Linked DNA regions of Danio rerio. Each later gene encodes a partner of the first gene's protein in a complex. Links are inferred from orthologs where the notes say so. Each region holds a gene or a part of one and is shown in the gene's direction. Other genes may lie near its edges.

Region 1 (4,721 bases):
TTCTAAAGGCGAGTCCAAGAGGAGATTGCCAGTCAGGATCTTTGCGACACTGACTCAGAATAAGTTTATTAATAAATAATTAAGATATGTACTCTTTCCTCGACACATTCATTGTTATTTGTTTTTGCCGGTGCTTGGGGCGAGTTTTAGCTTATTGTGTGCGCTTGAACGCGGATTCACAGTAGCAGTTTTAACATGGAGTGACACCACATCTGACGTACAGATGACACTGGCACATGCCACTGAGTGTAGTGACACTTCCGGTGGCACGCAGTGGCGTAGCGGACGGGCCCGCAGGGCACGCACCGCGGGGGGGCCCCGCGTGATTAGGGGGCCCCGCGTCGTCGTGATTTTCAATAATTAAAAATCCACCGGCGAACGCAATAATCAAACTCTTGGGAACAACTGTGGTCGGAACCAAAGTTCACAGGTCTGTGTTCTCTGAACACCTCTCAAGCGGTGGACTACTTCATTCTGATTGCTTGCCGCCAATGTTGCCAACTTAGCGACTTTGTCACTAGATTTAGCGACTTTTCAGACCCCCTTAGCGACAAATCTAGCGACTTTTTTTTGTGTTATTGGAGATTTTTTTAGACTGTCATTTGTCCATACTGTACCGTCCCTACTCTTCTCAACGAGCTGCGTGTGATGCCGCCGGCCCCTCCCTCGCCTCACAGCACTGACAGGCGGCCCAGTCAGTCCTCATACAGCAGCCTCTCCCACCTGCAGCCCGAGAGCAGATCACCCCTCTGCGTACCGACGACAAATGATTTAGCACAGGCAGTGTGAAGGTATTTCCCTTGTACAGTCAAACCGATGTACTGCTACTTTATTTTAACAATTTAATTGGACCGTTTATTCTTTTCTTGTTCACAATCACAGATATTTTAGTGACAGTTTCTGAACTTGTCTGAGTTTATTACATATGAGAGATTACTGCACATTCACTACATATCTATAATGACATACTGTATTCAAACAGCAATACATTTAGTTAAATAAACATGCTTATATAAAGTGTAGTGCAATTATAAATACCCCTTTATTAACCATAGGCTGTTAAACAAACAGAAACGGTAGAACGTGATGACGCCAGTGATATGCAAATTGACGTGTGACGTATCCCCCCCCCCCTTCATCAGGGGGCCCCGTCAGCGATCCCTGCAGGGGGGCCTCTGCATTTTGCGCTACGCCACTGGTGGCACGTCCGGGTTTCCACTGTCATGTGTCACTCGCTAGTGGCATGTGTAGTGACCTGTGTCACTCAGAGTGTCGCGCTGCATGTCACTGCAGTGACATCGACACCCGGCGAAGCTTATGACATTAATTAACACGAGCAAAACCATATTTAATCATTACGCGACTTTTAACCTAATTTATTGCGTCGCAAGTTAGTTTATTTGCTGAGCTACTCCACGATGTTTTAATTTAAACGCATTTATTTTATGTATTCGTAGTCGTACTTCCGTACATAATATAGTCATTTGACAGTACATGTCAGTCAAATTTATTGTGGCATGCTTATGTATGGGAGGGGTTACACTTATCTGTTGTACTGTTTATTGCACCCTGGCAGTTCCTTTGTTCCCTACAATATGGACTTTTCTATGTTTTTAATTCATTCATTTATTTTATTATTTAACTTATTTTCATTTTAAGGTATTTTAAATAATATCCTTTAAAAAGTTATAATAAAATGCATGTTGAAAACTCATAACATATATGCATGTAAGATAACAGGTGTCATTTGCCTAATGATTTTTAAATATTAAAGCAAAGAGACTTATAAGATTAATGTGCTTATAACGTGCTTATACTGACACCTACTGGCACATGTCACAAGATCACTGACACTGGCATGTGTCACTGACATTACTGGCATGTGTCTAAAAAGAGCCACTTGACAATAATGATGATCAGGGTTACACATAGGCTGTTAATATATTTGGGCCCAGGGGCCCACAAGTTATGTGTTAAAAGTGCGTTGCATACATAGTACCCCCACCCCTACTCACCTCAGGGGCAAGGAAAAAAAGTTCAGGCTCAGGAATTTTTTCCGCTATCAGCCCTGTCACTGACTGATAAGGGCTTTAGTGTCGCGCGCACAGTTTTGCTCCAACCCTAATCAAACAGAGCTGATCCAACTAATTAAGGTGTTCAAGACCACTAGAGACTGTTAGACTATTGTTTTGGTGTGGCCAGAGAAAAAATAGGTAAATCTTGCTGTTTAGCCCTGAAAAGCCTTGTGAAACAAGACCTAATTGCAATGCGACACTAATCTGAATGCGACTGAAACCATAACCCATATGCTCATGCTCATTGAGCAAGGTCAAACACAACACACAAAAAGTGAAATGAATGAGGACTTATGTGGACATTACACAAAATGTAAAGTACGTAACTTTGGCATGCCAAAATCAAATGTATGCATATAATTATACATTTTCCTTATAGCAAAATTGTGGCTAGTAAAAGTGGTAAGTGGCTAGTAATGTTGAAAAACTACTAGCCACAGTGGCTGGTGATCAAAAAAGTTAATGTCAAGCCCTTATATATATATATATATATGAGCAATATCACACGAGTAGCAGTGCGATATGGCTGTACATCGGCACTCATGGGAGGCGTTCGATGGCACAAGGCCACAGGCCGAGTCGTGTGATATTGCGTTTATACAACAGTTTGACGGCATAATTGTATATATAAAAACAAAATCAAACACGAATAGTTTCAAAAACCCTTTTGTATGTGGAACTACTTTCTTCCACATTGGATTCATATCATAAGCTGACAGTTAAACAGTTGAGCAAGCATCTTTGAAGCTTTAGATCTGTAGTGTCTGCTTTTTGCTGGCTGTATGTGGGCGGAGTAATACACAAAGGGTAAAGAGGCTGTAGGAGTTCTGATATTGCAGAATATCGCACAGTTATCAGCCAATTAGATTTGAGAACCAGACAGAATTGTTGTATAAATACCCATCTCTCTATTTCCCATGTCTGTCTATATACATTATTTATATGATGTCTTTATATAGACAGATACTTAATGCTCATTACTTACATAGGCAAAGGGTATGTAATTAATTTCTTTTGCCCATATTGGACCCACATGGGGTTTTCCATTTGAAATGTAACATTTTTTTTATTTTTTAGGCTGTAAAGTGTGATGTAATATTATGACTTTTGTATTATGGCTTTATGATTATGGCTTTTCAAGGTCTTGTGTAATCGCAGATCCTCTTAATTGAAGGTTTGTCCTTTATTCAGGCTTCTTCTCAGTCTATGCCGTGGCTGGCTGATCTTGTCCAGTCCAGCGAAGGCTCCTTAGATGTGCTGCCCGTTCAGTGCCTGTGTGAATTTCTCCTCCATGATGCAGCAGATGATGCCTCTTCTGCTGATGATGAAGAGGAAGGAGAAAGCAAAGAACAGAGAGCAAAGAAAAGACAGGTAAAAATGATTACGGCATTGGTTATTGTTTGAATGTTTTTGTTTTTTGTTATCATCTTGCAATATCAATGGTGGTGTCTTAAACCAATGTTTAATTTTACATGACCCATAGTAGTTTACAGTATGGTGTAATAGAGTGGTTCAAACAATTATGCTATATTAAAAGAAAATAATCCAACTAATTACTCAATAGTTTAATACAACTATATACTCTTTTTTTTAAAGGAATACTGTTATTTAACAAAGGCATATTACATTGATCTAAATAAAGGAATTTATAACATTTACAAATGAATTATTTCAATTAAATCTTGTACTTTTACTGTATCTCTAATCTGCCCAACTGCTTTAAATAATAATAATTATGGAAAATATTTCCTGAACATCAAATATGTACATTTGATTGACATCTGAAGGATCACGTGACATTTAGGTCTTAAGTATTGACTACTGAAAGTTGAAAGCACACAAATATGCTGCATAGTTTTGAAAACATGTATTTTGTAAAAACAAAAATTAATAATTTTCTTGCTTTTTTGTTTGTGTTAGCGGCAGCAAAAACAGAGGCAGCTTCTTGGGCGGCTGCAGGACCTTCTGCTGGGGTCTAAGGCTGATAAACAGACCACATGTGAGGTCTTGGACTACTTTCTCCGGCGTCTAAGCTCTTCTCAAGTGGCTTCAAGAGTGTTGGCCATAAAGGTACAGAGTTCATTTTCCATCTAACTAAGCATGGTTCTTTACACACTTGTGTGATATGGTGAATTATGATGTGCATATCAGGGATTGTCCCTGGTGCTGACGGAGGGCGGATTGAAAGATGGAGAGGACAGGGATCATCTCATGGAGGAGGACTCCAGAGATGCAGAGTTACTGCCAAGCTACCAGTGGCTCCTTCAGGACCTTCCTAAACTGCCTCTGTTTGACAGCGTGAGAGGCTTAACGGCCAGTGCTTTGCAGCAGGTTAGTCCACCTACACAAATCCTACACAAATATAAGTTTATCAGTACCTGTGACTTGCTGAACTTAAAGTGTGTGCATGGTTTTCCTTTTTTTCCAGGCCATTCACGTGGAGACGGATCCTCAAACCATCAGTGCATACCTGATTTACCTTTCCCAGCATGCACCAATAGAAGAGCAGTCCCTCCACAATGACCTAGCCTTGGTTAGTGTAAATCTGCAGGTTTTAATCGGTTTGAATTTTGCTCAGTTTCTTCTGTGTGTGATGTGTTAGAACACTCTTTTTTTTAATTAGAGCCAGGACACACCAAGCCAACA
Region 2 (4,155 bases), on another chromosome or scaffold:
CCACAAAGCCATGGAGAAGAGCAGATTTACCCTGTGCCGCGTAGTTTTTTTACGAGCCAGTCTGAAGCCTGAGTGGTTTCACTTTTTTTCCTTGCGCTCGACGCGCGTTATCTGAAATAACTAACTTCTTTAGCTGATAATAATAACATGCGCTTGATTATTGACAAGCTTTGGAAACCCGATCCTGTGAGAAGCTGACAAACGCGAGAGTGACACATTCAGAAAGAAAAGGACAAACGCGGGAGTGGAGCGCGGAAAAAACGGCGAAGCCAAGGAGCACGTTATTTCTTCAGCAAACGTGAACAAACTGCCTAGTTTTAAATCTTTATTATTACATTTTGGACTAATATGAACTGGGAATGATGGAATGACTCTCTAACAGAGGCTACATGTGCTGCTGAAGATTACAGACACAGATGAGAGGTTTTCACTGACTAGGCTATACTTTGTGTTGTTATGAACCTAACTAACGACGAAATGTCTGCTTTGTGTAGTTCTTCTGTAGTTGGTAACATATCGGAGACTGTAAGAGGCTGTATGTGTTCATATATGTTCATTTATTTATTTATTTAATATAATTACAGACGTTATAGTAGGCTATTTCGCACTGTCATTGATCTGCAGTTATAATCAACTCCTGTTTATAGAAAAGTTAGTAATAAACATTTATACACAAGTATTTTTGTGTGTAAAGCATCTGTTTTATGAGAAGCATCTGTTTAATGATATGTGAACGACCTGTGCAGCTTTATTGTAGACATTTTCTTGAGCGAAAATGACGTCGACTGAAACTTTGTCATACACCACGCCCACCAAAAGGGTACCCTTGGTAGTAAAACGCAAGCCTGATAAAGGTGACCCGTACTGACCCGAACCGTACCGTACTGTACCAGTCAGTGGAAACGAGCCATTTGCAGCAAGCTAGCACAGACACTCCATTAAGAATACTGGGGTAAAATACATTTCCATGTTTTAAAGACATGGCACGGGAAAAAAAATGTAATGCAGTGCTTCTTGCTTGGGCTGACACCCACTTTATATCATATCTCAATCAGGTGGTGAGGTTTGCTGTTTTGTTTTTATTTAAAGAAATCAGATCTTAAATGCTATGATTTTGTATGGGATGACAATTAATCGGAAGCCCTGGTGCTGGCTGACTGAAATTAAAAGTACATGAACATATATCTTATTATCATCCCATACAAATTCACTTTAAGATCTGATTTCTTTAAAAAATAAAACAGCGATCTTCAATCCCTGGTTGTATTTTCAATGGAGTGTCTGTGCTAGCTTGCTGCTAATTACTTTCTTTTGTCTCTTTTTACGCTTTAGCAACCAAATGAATGCTGAAGTCAATTTAACTGATTATATTTGAATTAAATTACAACATTGAAACTGTAAAAGGAACCTTATGAAATTAAAAACAGTAAAAATAAAGCTCCCACTAGAAGTTCATCATTGGCTGAAAAACACTAGTTGTGCATATACAGTAGTCAACATTTGAAGTGGATCATCACCTTTTACCAAAGTTGTCTCAAAACTATTGAACAACACCCATTCCTGTCCTAGGACGATTTTGAAAAACGTTTTTAATTCACTTTGAATGTTGACTACTGTAGTCTGTTCTTATGTTATTTGTTCCATTTCATACAGTTCCCACACTTTTTGAATCCACAAATGTACATTTTAAATCAACAGTAGATTTTAGTTCACTTTTCATCATTTGTCTTATGATCATATGTCTGATAAAGATCATTGTAGTATTTTAGCATGACTTGTGTCATGACATGAGTGCATTGTAAGACTTTAAGTACACAATTTAATAAGAGTTGCAGAGTGCAAACCCTTGATGTTAAAAAGCTGCTTTTTTTCTTATAATACATCTCTATTATTTATTTAAAAATCTTTTTTTCCCTGTGCAGGCAACTGCAGCATCAGGAAACTCATCCAGCAGCAGTAGCAGCAGCTCGTCTTTGCCTCCGGGTCTTACAGGATGGGCCGCCTTCACCAAGGCAACCTCAAATGTAGGACCTTCCAGCACCAAGTTAAGCACCAGTCAATCAGGTAACAGTAAAACATCCCCAGCTGCCTCAGGCTCCAAACCTGTGGGTCTCTCTGCTCTGGCCAATGTTAAACCAGCTCTGGCCACTAAACCTTCAGGAGGAAGCAGTGCCGGAAGTGGCAATGGAAACAATGGCTCTGGTACAGTACCCTTAAAAGCACCTCCTCCGCTTACTCTAGGTAAACAGGTGTTGAGCCGCTCAGCGAGTGGAGATAGTTTGGGGAAAATGACTGTGACGGGATCATTGTCACCTGGAGCTGCACCTTCTAGCAGCCTGGGTGGCAATGGTGGGTCAGGAGGCAATGGAGCGGGCAACGGTGGCAATAGTGCTGGGAGTAGCAGCAGCAGTGGCAACAACAACAACAACGGAGCAAAAGCCTCAGCTGATGGCAAGGCACCCACTTCCCAAGAGTCTCAGCTCAATGCTATGAAACGCCTGCAGATGGTGAAGAAGAAAGCGGCACAGAAAAAACTGAAGAAATGAGGAGGAAGTAGGCAGAATGTCACGATAAAGAGCACGTCAAATCCTGTTTTCAGATCGCATACTTGAATTTAAATGTTACTGGTCGTTCTGAAGCGCTTTGGTTTGGAAATGTGTCTCTTTCTTTCTAAACCAGCCACATTACTGAAAACAAGCTGCTCCTTTTAATGATGTGTTGAATAAATAACACCTTTTTTAAAAAAGAAATTCTTGTTTTTTTTTTTTTTTTGAATACAGGTCAGAGATTAAATTAGGCTTTAAACATCCAACTTAAATACAGCTTTATTTTAATAAAACTAGCTAATGAAATATGTAAATTTAAAAAAAGTTTCTCTTCTTGTCAGAATGCATGTTTGCTAAGGGTAGGGTAGGACGACGTGTTGCTGTTAGAGTCAGAGGCGCAACACACAGCATCGTAATGCTCGTAGTTAGCACACACCCTGACCTGATGTCAAAGAAATAGACAAACAGCCATTTTTTTTCTTTTCTTTTTTTTTTTTTTTTTGGGAGAAAAGAAATATATTTGGAGTTTCGTATGATTACTGTTTTACCGCTATAGTCACCTGGAATTTAGGTCTCAATTTTGACCATGTCTTAATTTTCCTATGTCCATGTAAAGCTAACTAATCACTTTTAACAAAACTTAATATAACTCTATTTGCCAGTATGGTTTAATTTTCATCCCTACAGTAATGTTTGTTTAAAGGATCTCTGTGTATTTATAGCCCATATGGTGAGGACAATGACCTAGTTTTTAGCGCTGGACCAACTGGGCTATTAGAAAAAAACTCATGTATGAGTCTGTAACTTCATTCATTATGGTCTTAAAAAATCTTTAAATTTACTTTGTGAAACCTGCAGAAACCCTGGGATAGTTTTGCAAATATTTTTGCAAATTATTTATTATTTCTTTTCTGGACTTGCTCTTGAATTTCATAAAATATATTTATTTGTGGTCCAAAACGAACAGGTCTCAGTGGGTTGCAACAATCATAACAGAATTTCAATTTTTGGGTGACCTTTTTTTATTGCTTTGGTTCTTTTAATGTTTAATTATTTATTTGCAAAATAGAAGTATTACAGATTTGACCATGTTTAGCAGAACACATCCACTATCTCATCATTATATAAAAATGAGATATTTGATATACCTGTACTTGTACCTGTACCTCCCCTCACAAACAAACAAGGACATTTTTTAAATGGTTATAAATATTTTATTCACAATAGAGCTTTTTTCATATATTATTATCATTGTATTTACACAAAATATATATATATATTTTTTTTTTTTCTGATTAACAAGTTGATAATTTGTATAGAATTTAAGCAAACACTGTTGGTAGCATCATTTGTAGTGCAAAAGGGTTGTGCATGATTGGCCTTCATTAAGCAGTTACCTTCATATTTAAAAAAAAAAATAAAACTTCACTTTTAAATATTGCATGTAAAAAATAGCTTTAGGCGTATGACATCTTTCCAAGGTAGTTTGCTGGAACGTAGCCTTTCTGTCCATTAGATTCAGCAAGCCACCAGTCTTTGTTTCCGCCGAGATCTGAAAACTGAAGGATACGAACGTGTTGGTACTCCTGAAGTGTGAGCTCTTGTTCAC
Region 3 (5,201 bases), on another chromosome or scaffold:
GAAGCCAACCTTTCAGAACAGAGCTTTGTTTTTCTCCAGTGTTGAAGATGGTCACAAACCCTTCTTCGTTGGCTACAGCAAGACAGTTTTGTTGTCCATGAGCTAAACATAGAAAACAAACCAGCACAAACATAATGTCTTTGCACAATTCTGTACTACTGACTTCGAACTCATTGTGAATGCAGAAATAAATGTTTACCGGAGGAAAATGTGCATCCGAATGGCGGCACGGCAGCAGCGGAGGCTCCATAAGAGATGTGTTCATCCCGCCGAGCGCATTCATAGCCGTCCAGCAGAGACGACAGAGGAAACAGCCGCTGCTCACCTGATTATTACAAAGTATTTCAGTGTAAATAGTGTAATAACGCTGGTTTAGGTTAACGTATATTCAGCAAACTCACCATTTCGTCCTCTTTTTTTAGCCCCTCGATCAACAACATGGTGAAAAAGAGTCATCGCTGCAGGATGCAAGTCGCGTTCAGAAGTGGTAAGTTTCCCGCGAACAATGAAAAAGCGCTGAAGACGAATTCCCCGCGAGATGGACGAACAGTGTTCTAATTGGTCGACACGTCAGGAAACAGGAAGTGTTAAGCCACTGCGAGCGGAGTGGAATGGCTGCGAACACTAGAGGCGCCATGTGGCCCCAAAAAAATCCGGGTTAACATTAACATTAACAATATATATATATATATATATATATATATATATATATATATATATATATATATATATATATATATATATATATATATATATATATATATATATATATATATATTCATTATTTCATTTATTTCCTTTTTGGCTTAGTACCTTTATTGTTTTGGAGTTGCCACTGCGGAATATGGTTTTACGCAGCGGATGCCCTTCCAGCTGCAACCCATAAGTGGTAAACATCCATACACACTCATTCACACACACACACAAACACACACACACACACACACACACACACACACACACACACACACACACACACACACACACACACACACACAAAATTTAGCCTACCCAGTTCACCTACAGCATATATTTTTTTAACCCACGCAAACACTGGAAGAACATGTAAACGCCACAGAAACACAAAAACTTAATCTTATTAAGAATAAAAAACCCTAAAATTCCTGAAATATTATACAGATGTAGGAGATGCTTAAGTTTAGTTGCTTTCCTTTTGGTTATTTGTTTAAGTGTCATTGTAATTTCATTCATTTGTTTAATTTAGTTTGTTTAATTTAGTAATTTTGTTATTATCATAATTTTATTATTATTAATATTATAATTATTAATATTTTCCCTTTCAGTCTAATGATATGTTATTTGTATGTGTTTGTGATAATTTTTATGACTGTGTATACTATTGATCATTTTAAAGTGATCTCTGGGATCCTTTGGATTTTGTTCTGATAGCAAGCAATAATATATATATATATATATATATATATATATATATATATATATATATATATATATATATATATATATATATATATATATATATATATATATATATATATATATATATATATATATATATATATATATATATATATATATATATATATATATATATAATTTTGCAAATGATTAAATAAAAATTATGATAGCATGAAGAGCCTAAAAGCTGAGCAGAGGTTTAGACTAATCAGGGTAAATGCCGACTCATAAGCCCCGCCTTCTTTGGTCACCTCTTTGGGTCGCTTTCGCTTCTAGCGTTCCTTGTAGCGCAACGGAAACCCGACGACGAAACTGGCGTTGTGCGTCACGTGACCTGCTTTACAACCGGGTCACACTTCAAACTTAATGCACAAAATCTCCATCTGATAAAACAAATAAAGTGTTAAATCCGAGAGCAGTCTATCGGGTTACATTTTTTGCAGTCTAATAATAAACAATGTCGCTTTCAGCAGCGCGTTCGTTTCTTTCGGAGGCGGCATACGGCGAGCAGGAGCTGGACGCCAATTCAGCGCTGATGGAGCTCGATAAAGGTGGCTCTTTATAAACAACACACGTGTATTTGTTTTTTGATGCAGTGTGTGTGTGTGCTATTTTAATGTTGAATATCATACATTGTATCTGTTCGCATGAAAAAGCTCTTCTATAATTTTATTATGTAGGCTACTACTGTACTTTAGTCTATACTGTGCTTTGTTTTCATTTTTACAGAATGTTTTAGGGATGTAACATATGTTATGGAAAGATCCAGAATTTACGCAACCGTCAAGTAGTTTGACTTTTATGAGTTTCTTCTTCTTTGCACACGCCACACGGGTGATAAAATGCTTTAATTTTAAACTACTAAGGTCTAAAAAGTGCTTAGATTATGGATGAAGTGCTTGGAAAGTAATTGCATTGCTTTCATAATCATTGATCTTACTGAACGTACAACATTGTTTACAGTCAAAAAATTGTGCTTATGTTGTTTTGAAGTCACACTTACATGTGATTTTATACTGAATATTCAAAGTACCATGGTAAACGCTATAGGGAGCGTGTCACAAGTTGTCAATGAACAAATGTACGAATATAAAACCAACTTTACCTGTCTTATTAAACGGGTAATAACAGTGAAAATTACTGTTTAAATAAAAGTATAATAACTCTCATTGCTTGTGCATAAAATGAAAATCTGGGGTCTGTACATAAGCCTGTAGCATGATCTGCCTTCTATCTTATTTTGTCTGCACTCCTTGAGTATAAGATGAAATTAGATACATCTAAGATTTAAGTAAATGACATTCATATAAAAAAAAATCTTATGAATAGAATCTGATAAAATGTAATAAAGCATGTGTGTGTATGTAAATGTGTAATATGCCACACATTTACATACACATGCATTCAAAAAATGTGCATCTGAAAAGTGCTTAAATTATATAAAAAAGCATGCTGCAAACACAAAAGAAGATACTTTGAACAATGTTCAAAATCAGTAACCTTTGACTTCCACAGTAGGACAACAAATGTAGGTCAATAGTTACAGGTTTACAGCTTTTTTCAAAATATTCAATTCAATTCAATTCAGCTTTATTTGTATAGCGCTTTTACAATGTACATTGTGTCAAAGCAGCTTCACATAAATGGTCATAGTAACTGGAACAGTGTGGTTCAGGTTTTAAAATATCTTCTTTAGTGTTCGACAGAGTAATAAAACTGAAATGGGTTTAGAAAACAAACAAAGGATGTGACACTAAAAAAGCAATACAGTTGAAGTCAGCATTAATAGCCCCCATTTGAATTGTTATTTTTTTTTTTCCAGAATAGTGTTTAACAGAGCAAGAAAACTTTCACAGTATGTCTGATAATATATTTTTTTCTTTTTGAGAAAGTCTTATTTGTTTTATTTCAGTAAGAATAAAAGCAGTTTTTATATTTTTAAGAAACATTTTAAGGTAAAAATTACTAGGCCCTTTAAGCTATATATTTTTCCGATAGTCTACAAAACAAACCATCGTTATAGAGTAACTTGACAAATGTATGCTGTTTGTTCATTTATTTAAAATTAACAGAAACAACACAATTGTTAAGTTTTATTTTGGGAACACTTAGTTGTTTTAGATTCAATCAACTAAAATTTGTAAAATCTAATAATATAACTTAATCCATTCATGCTATTGTGGAACCCAACATTTTTACAGAGTATGAATAAAAAACATACATATTTGAGCGTGAATCATTCCTTTTACTCACACACTTCTGATTTTGTCTTTGCTCCAGGTTTACGGTCTTGTAAACTGGGCGAGCAGTGTGAAGCCGTGGTCCTTTTTCCCAAACTCTTCCAGAAATACCCGTTCCCCATCCTCATCAACTCTGCCTTCCTGAAGCTGGCAGATATCTTCAGACTTGGGTAATTGCACATATAAATACATACGAATTATGTCATGTTTAATAGTTTAGATATGGTAACAAAATTGTCAATAGCTGCTTTTCCACTATCGTGCTGAATCGTTCTTTAAGCAGAACCGTTCCATTCCGTGCCAAACCAGGCCAGACAGGACGGATACGGTTTCATTTTCCACTGTCCTGCTGCGACAAAGCTCTTTAAAAACATTACACAAACCGCATCAGTAGTTGCCTTGGTTAACGCAATGTAAACAGCTCCCTTTGTTCAATTAAATTTAAATAATAGCCGAAACTAGTTTTTTTCATGTTCATAAAAGTGAAAGCAACCATGTGACTAGCACTGTTATGCCGCTCTATTAAATAGGGTTGCTAAATATAGGTAGGCTACATACGTCAGCACCCTTATTTATTTAGAGGTATGTTGTGCGGATCTGGCTAAATTTTATTTAGGGGGAAAATTACCAAAATATATCGTGATTAGGGATGTAACGATTTATCGTTGTACGATTTATTGCAATGCAAAAATGTCTCTATGCATCGTGGTGTTATGACGATTTGATTACGATATGACGTCCGTTTTCTCTTATTAGTTGAGCTGTTTGCACGTGAGCTACGTTCCACCTGCTGTCGCACGTGAGTTCAGATTGCAGCAGCAGTAATGTTAGCAGACCAAGATGAGTGGAGCTGATATAGAGGATGGCCCATCCTCTCAAAATCAGACGTCTGGCAACATTTCGGTTGTACAGTCATTGCTTTAGACTCGTCCGCTTTTTGACACGCATACTGGGTCAAACATCCTAAGTTTTAAAGTCTTCACAGTGATTTACATACTTTGCACAGCGACATGGATACCTCCTAATGGTGTTGAAAGAGTCACATACTGTATTTATAAGGTACAATTCACCCTAAAATATCATTCTGTCTTCATATAATGATGTATTGGCGGCCGCAAAATCACACATGACGTGAGCTGTTACTACAGAGGGCGGACTATGATAGACGCGCGCGTATGGCAAGCCGTTTTAGCATTTAAACCTTTGATCTGACTATTCATAAATATATTTAGAGATATCTCTAATTATATTTTGACTAGTCATAATTATAATTCGACTAGTCAAAATATAATTAGAGATATCTCTAAATGAATTTAATTAAATATGAATTAAATATATTTATGGATAGTCAGAACAAAGGTTTAAATGTTAAAACGGCTTGCCATACGCGCGCGTCTGCTTCAGTGAACAGAACCTGCAGGTTGTGACTAATAAAGTAGTAAACAACATTCAGTTTGTGGAACAGAGTGATCGTTCAGGAGCCGCGTGTGTGAACAGCACTTAGCAGTGGAAATGAAACCGAAA
Region 4 (5,239 bases), on another chromosome or scaffold:
AGACAACGAGAGGCCTTGAAGGAGAATGCAGAGGCCAAAGAAGGAAGATGGAAGTGCTGACTGCTGGTGTTCGACATCCCAGGTTCAACGGATGCTACAAGCAATGGTAGCGCGCGGTTCCTCGGTTAGCACGGATTCGGCCAGTTCTTTAATCAACGTGTATGGAGGAGTTATCTGTATAGAATCTGATGGAAAGGGACTTTTGATGCTCTTTGAAATGAGAATGAATTCTTGGTTTTAAGACCTCTAATTCCCTGTTTCTTTTGGATGGGATTATATCCAAATGAAATGCCTGCATCTGTCTTATTTATTGTAAGTTTTTAAATGTATAATTTGTCTGATTTCTTAACCTCTTTTATATATAAAAGTTCTAGAAGGTTTGTATCGCCTTCCTGCTTTAAAGCAATTGGTCAAAAATATATGTAATCGTCTTAATTACAAAAACGAACCATCAAACGGAAAAAAACCCACTAAAAAGATGAATAAAATAAAGTTGCGGTAGGTTGCTTTTAGAGTATTATTTTTTGTAAGGGAGACACAGATTATTTGTATTGTCACGATGTACAGAGGAGACTGGATAGGGGGTTTCAGTCCGCGCCTTTGCGCGTGGACAAAATTACAGCTAAGCTTTAGCTGCACGGGACTTGTACAGCAATGAAGTTCACTGTGTTTAAAAATAAAGAGGTACATTGTCGTATATTGTATTTTATACCACACATTTAGACACAAAAACGAAAAACTGCAATATATAAATAATTATATATGAATGCCGCACCAGCATTGGGTGGCACTGCTTCTGTTTTAGGAATAAAAAGAGTCAACTTCATGTTTTTCCTGTGTTTTTTGGGTGGGGATGTTGGGATGTTTCATGAAGGCATAAAAACACCTAAAAATTTGCTTCAGCTTTCGCATCCACCCCATTGGCTCCTCCTTTTTGCACCAATTTCGAGTGATAATGGACACTTTTAGACAAGAACCAGTTTTCTTTGAGAGTGACAGAAATGTGGTGTAAACGGACTTTGATGAACGATCTGGGTGGCTGTTGGAAATGCAGTGTTTGTGCACAGAGAAAGATCAATTTCCTCTATCTTACTCTGTTCAGAATAAACTGTATGCTGATATTCAAAGACCCTGGGATTTCTCTTACTTCCCACACCAAATCTACATGCTTTCCAAATGCAAAAGTCTGATAAACAGCTTTAGGGTCAAGCACGCCAAGGCCAGACCTCACTGCATTTGTGAGGTATTCACATGAAAATCTATTTAGGGTAGGAGTATATACCAGGGGAAATGTTCATAATCATAATATGCATTATAAATGGCAATATACTCAAGTTTAACACAGATTTCGCAGATAACCACTCTAAAATGATTTGTAGGTTAATTTGCTTAATAACAATCGCATTTAGCTTTATGGACATTTTTATCTAGCCTCATGTTTGATATGGTATTGCTATGAATACATGGTTTAAACTAGATATAATGACATCTATAAAATCACAACACATACTACATTTAGATTATATATAGATTGCATTTAGACTCACTTAAAATATGAATCAAACAATTAAATGAAAATGACTTCTTGAACCTAGAACTTGGGTAACGTAATAGTTGAATAGGATAAAGCGTTCACAGAAACTGACTCCCATTAACGCTTAAATAAGTCTTTACTCTCCGTTATATACATAACGTTATATAAGTAACTTTTTGTGATTTGTATGTTATTTCCATTTTCACTTGACATGTAAATTCTTTACCTTTGCTTCAAACGTGCCACTTATTGGTGTTTTTTCATAATTTGAGGAAGAACACGGCTGTGGTGTTCGGACAATGGTGCTTCTAGGTAGGCGGCACACTAGGATTTGAGACGCAGCCAGAGTTCAGCATGCTCACAGCGGAGCAGATGATCGCTTGTGCTAAAATCATTACTTTTTCTACTTTATAGCTTGCTAAGCACTCTGGCCGACACATGTGGGTTTAATATAGAGTAAGTGGATTGTATTAAGCATATAATTATTTTAAATATATTGCTTCATTTAGTTAAATCGGGATGAATGGATCTCTTAAGCAGGATAGCTTTAGCAGCTAGCATGTTAGCTTACCGGTGAGCTGTCCTATTTCGACCGAAGAAGATCAACTTCCTTTTCAGAGAGAATCACGACAGACCGCGGTCTTACAGGCCTCAGCGGGTTTCTTTTGTAACCAGCGGCGCTGTTGAAGTCTAGGTAAGGATAATTGTGGTTTGTTCATTATATAAAATGCATTATTTGCTTTCAATGATGTTAAATAAAGTCGCAAGCCGAAAAGTTTGTTATATTAAGCATAAGTTTCTGCTTAACGTTAGCTGTGTTGTGAATCTGAGGGCAGTTCCCACAGTTAGCATTAAAAGTGTTTTAAATATTAATTTCAACACATTTAAAGCAATAAATATTAAAATAATAATCAGAAAATAATGTTTTAAAAGCAAAAGAAAATTCAGCGCACTCTTATAAAGCAGTACTGTTTTATTCAAACACTATATTATTCACAACCGACTAACTGTATGCTTAAATGTCATTGCATTACTGTCATACATGTACACAACGTGATTTTTGTCATGTTAAGTCAAAAATGCATTGCGATATTTTTGCCAACTTAATGACAGTTCTTTAGAACTTCATAATTCACCAGAAATACTAAACAGAATGTATTAATGTTCACACAAAAGAATATTAAACAACAATTTGATCAATGTTGTTTTTTTAAACACCAAGTCAGGGTTGTCATCATAAATAAATATTACAAATAAATCCGTTATTTGAAATCATTATATTACTATTACCTCACGCAATTCAGTTTTTAAATTCCTCCTCCCCCTGTAGCAGTTGATGGCTAGTAGACTGGATGTTTATTTAGAGTAAGGGAACCATGTTTTTAAATGATTTATTTCTAAATATGCCAAATGTGAAATGGGGACAAATAAAGTAAACTAACTTATTAATAACTTAATAATTCATCAGAAATCCTAAACAAAATGTATTATTGTTCACACAAAAAAATTAATAAGCAACAATTTTAGCAATGATGATGAATATTTTTTGAACACATCAGCAAGTTTAAAATGGCTGTCATCATGAAAAATATTAAAAATAAAATTGTTATTTTAAATCATGAAAAGTTTTTTTAATATCAAATTAATTTGCATAGATTTTTGATCTTCCTCAAATTAAAATTATCTCGTTTCCCAACACTGAACAAGAAAATTATAGCATTTGCAAGAAAACACTGTTGTCATTTATTATTTTCATTTTATAATGATACCAGTAGCTTATTTTAGTACAAAAAATCAGCAAAAATGCTTACTGTTTCCTTTCCCTGTCCTTTCACTTTGCAGAAGAATGACAGACAGTGCCAGTCTTCAGTTTGTGAGCCCGTATGCATTCGAGGCCATGCAGAAGGTGGATGTAGCCCGACTGGCAGCTTTAAGTGACCCAGAGCTGCGTCTCCTTCTGCCCTGTCTGGTCAGGATGGCTCTCTGTGCCCCTGCAGATCAGAGCAATGCCTGGGCACAGGATAAGAAGCTCATCCTGCGGCTGCTGTCAGGGGTGGAGGCGGTGAACTCCATTGTTGCTCTGCTGTCTGTGGATTTCCATGCTTTGGAGCAGGATGCTAGAAAAGAGCAGCAGCTAAGGTGGGTCTGGATGAAAGAAAGTACTTTCATGTGGTCATTCCGTAGGTTCAGCTCATCCGTACATTAAATGAGAGCTTTGTCTGGCTCAGAGAGGAGGATGTTCTGATTGAGACAATCTTGATTATTTGATGATTTAAGCATGTTTTCTTTTACACAGGCATAAGGCTGGAGGATCTAATGGCGAGAGCATTCTGGTGTCTCAGCTTCAGCATGGTTTGACTCTGGAGTTTGAGCACAGTGATCCTCTCAGGAGACTCAGACTGGCTCTAAGTGAGCTGCTGGCCATTATGAACAAGGTTCAGTGTCCTTTTATTTACTACTGCATAGGGATGCTCATTCGGGTAATTTTCCCAACCGGCGCTCATTAATCGGATATTAATCGTTAACTGGGCAGATTAGGATGAACTTATTATTTAAATACAAAAATGAATTGAGGTGTCTATTTTGGATCTGACACATTAAATATTGCATTTTGAAAAGCTGATTTATTTTAACGTGCAAACAACAGCATACAGAACATATTAACAACAGAACATCTTCAAGCAGTAGTGTTTTTAACAGCATAGAAAAAAGAATTACTGAATAAAAAAGAATAAAATAAATAGGCCTGCCCTAGATTTAACAACTCGTATGTCAAACTGTGACCATCAATATCCTTCATTCATATTCTCCTTTCATTTAGTTTTTTTGACAAAATAGGCTATGTCTGTAATTGCCACCCCGTGAGTTAACAAATATGTGTTGTACATTTATGCAGCTTAAAAAACTTACAGTATAAAAAATACAGTATAAAAAAAAAATATATATATATATATATATATATATATATATATATATATATATATATATATATATATATATATATATATATATATATATATATATATATATATTATTTTTTTGCATCCTTTTGGTTAATCTGCTTATCCAAGCATCCCTATTTTTGCGTAATGATCTTAACTTATTAAAATACATTTTAATAAGTCTTTTGCATTTTAAAATGGCTGCATTTTTAGTGTTAAAATATTTGTTTTTATACTAAAGATTGTATTCTTTATTTTAAAAATATTATGATACAATAAACTGACATAAAAATTTAAATTTGAAAAGTTTAGTGCAAATACACGCTATATTTCATTCTCTAAAAGAAAAAAAATTGTACTAAAAACAATATTAAGCACCAATTCCAAATGTGATGTTTGCATTACAGGATTGAATAGCTTTTTATAGTCATATTAAAATAAAGAGTTGCTATTTTAAATAATCTAAAGTTTTATTGCAGTATTTTGTGTTTGTCACAATATTTTTGTTTTGTAAATTTTTTGATCAAACAAATGTAGTCATGTTGTAATTGTAAAATAATTTTTCTTAGAGTTTTTTATTGTGTGCGTGTGTGTGTGTGTGTGTGTGTGTGTGTGTGTGTGTGTGTGTGTGTGTGTGTGTGTGTGTGTGTGTGTGTGTGTGTGTGTGTGTGTGTGTGTGTGTGTGTGTGTGTGTGTGTGTGTGTGTGTGTGTGTGTGTGTGTGTGTGTGTGTGTGTGTGTGTGTGTGTGTGTGTGTGTGTGTG

Evidence for each region.
Region 2: ints1 (region 1) and ints12 share a complex: the UniProt entries of both Homo sapiens proteins name them as parts of the integrator complex. The link is inferred for Danio rerio from reciprocal best matches to the Homo sapiens genes INTS1 and INTS12.
Region 3: the proteins of ints1 (region 1) and ints7 are in contact, whole or in part, in a cryo-EM structure (PDB 8RC4), measured with the Homo sapiens proteins. The link is inferred for Danio rerio from reciprocal best matches to the Homo sapiens genes INTS1 and INTS7. Residues at the interface, in NP_001073922.2 of Homo sapiens: Leu1378, Gln1381, Gln1382, Gly1385, Gln1386, Ala1389, His1429, Phe1430, Leu1431, Cys1433, Pro1434, Arg1437, Gln1438, Cys1440, Gln1441, Pro1476, Ala1479, Gln1480, Met1483, Leu1484, Gln1487, Arg1552, Pro1554, His1555, Leu1556, Glu1557, Glu1558, Pro1613, Ser1614, Gly1616; in NP_056249.1 of Homo sapiens: His150, Asp151, Leu187, Ala188, Thr189, Pro190, Val191, Lys194, Thr223, Ser224, Tyr225, Pro226, Ser227, Thr228, Asn262, Asp263, Pro264, Arg265, Lys266, Pro303, Tyr304, Gln349, Glu350, Cys352, Tyr353, His354, Asn355, Arg357, Ala360, Gln384.
Region 4: the proteins of ints1 (region 1) and ints2 are in contact, whole or in part, in a cryo-EM structure (PDB 8RC4), measured with the Homo sapiens proteins. The link is inferred for Danio rerio from reciprocal best matches to the Homo sapiens genes INTS1 and INTS2. Residues at the interface, in NP_001073922.2 of Homo sapiens: Gly561, Ile562, Ala563, Trp564, Asp565, Lys566, Gly567, Ser982, His1055, Met1056, Thr1058, Pro1060, Glu1095, Arg1096, Thr1098, Ile1099, His1102, Leu1107, Arg1225, Ser1250, Phe1251, Gly1252, Ile1253, Tyr1285, His1288, Glu1291, Val1292, Gln1293, Glu1295, Arg1296; in NP_065799.2 of Homo sapiens: Pro40, Leu54, Lys69, Leu72, Arg73, Leu75, Ser76, Gly77, Val78, Glu79, Val81, Asn82, Val85, Gly125, Thr127, Leu128, Glu131, His132, Glu166, Val172, Tyr173, Glu176, Arg322, Gln325, Gln326, Arg329, Gly400, Lys402, Thr769, Met772.

What each region holds. Positions count from the first base shown.
Region 1 is NC_133178.1:42,059,600-42,064,320, forward strand, and holds part of ints1 (integrator complex subunit 1), read left to right. Parts: intron 1-3,266; coding exon 3,267-3,446; intron 3,447-3,995; coding exon 3,996-4,145; intron 4,146-4,226; coding exon 4,227-4,406; intron 4,407-4,503; coding exon 4,504-4,608; intron 4,609-4,721. UniProt on the Homo sapiens protein: Component of the integrator complex, a multiprotein complex that terminates RNA polymerase II (Pol II) transcription in the promoter-proximal region of genes.
Region 2 is NC_133176.1:28,084,536-28,088,690, reverse strand, and holds the end of ints12 (integrator complex subunit 12), read left to right. Parts: intron 1-1,922; coding exon 1,923-2,064; coding exon of another isoform or gene 2,065-2,241; coding exon 2,242-2,546; 3' UTR 2,547-2,750; downstream 2,751-4,155. Other genes in the region: arhgef38 (rho guanine nucleotide exchange factor 38), read right to left, coding at 4,004-4,155. UniProt on the Homo sapiens protein: Component of the integrator complex, a multiprotein complex that terminates RNA polymerase II (Pol II) transcription in the promoter-proximal region of genes.
Region 3 is NC_133195.1:14,373,223-14,378,423, reverse strand, and holds the start of ints7 (integrator complex subunit 7), read left to right. Parts: upstream 1-1,796; 5' UTR 1,797-1,894; coding exon 1,895-1,988; intron 1,989-3,717; coding exon 3,718-3,847; intron 3,848-5,201. Other genes in the region: dtl (denticleless protein homolog), read right to left, coding at 10-102, 200-325, 402-456. UniProt on the Homo sapiens protein: Component of the integrator complex, a multiprotein complex that terminates RNA polymerase II (Pol II) transcription in the promoter-proximal region of genes.
Region 4 is NC_133185.1:32,946,182-32,951,420, reverse strand, and holds the start of ints2 (integrator complex subunit 2), read left to right. Parts: upstream 1-1,850; 5' UTR 1,851-2,228; intron 2,229-3,376; 5' UTR 3,377-3,380; coding exon 3,381-3,673; intron 3,674-3,830; coding exon 3,831-3,969; intron 3,970-5,239. UniProt on the Homo sapiens protein: Component of the integrator complex, a multiprotein complex that terminates RNA polymerase II (Pol II) transcription in the promoter-proximal region of genes.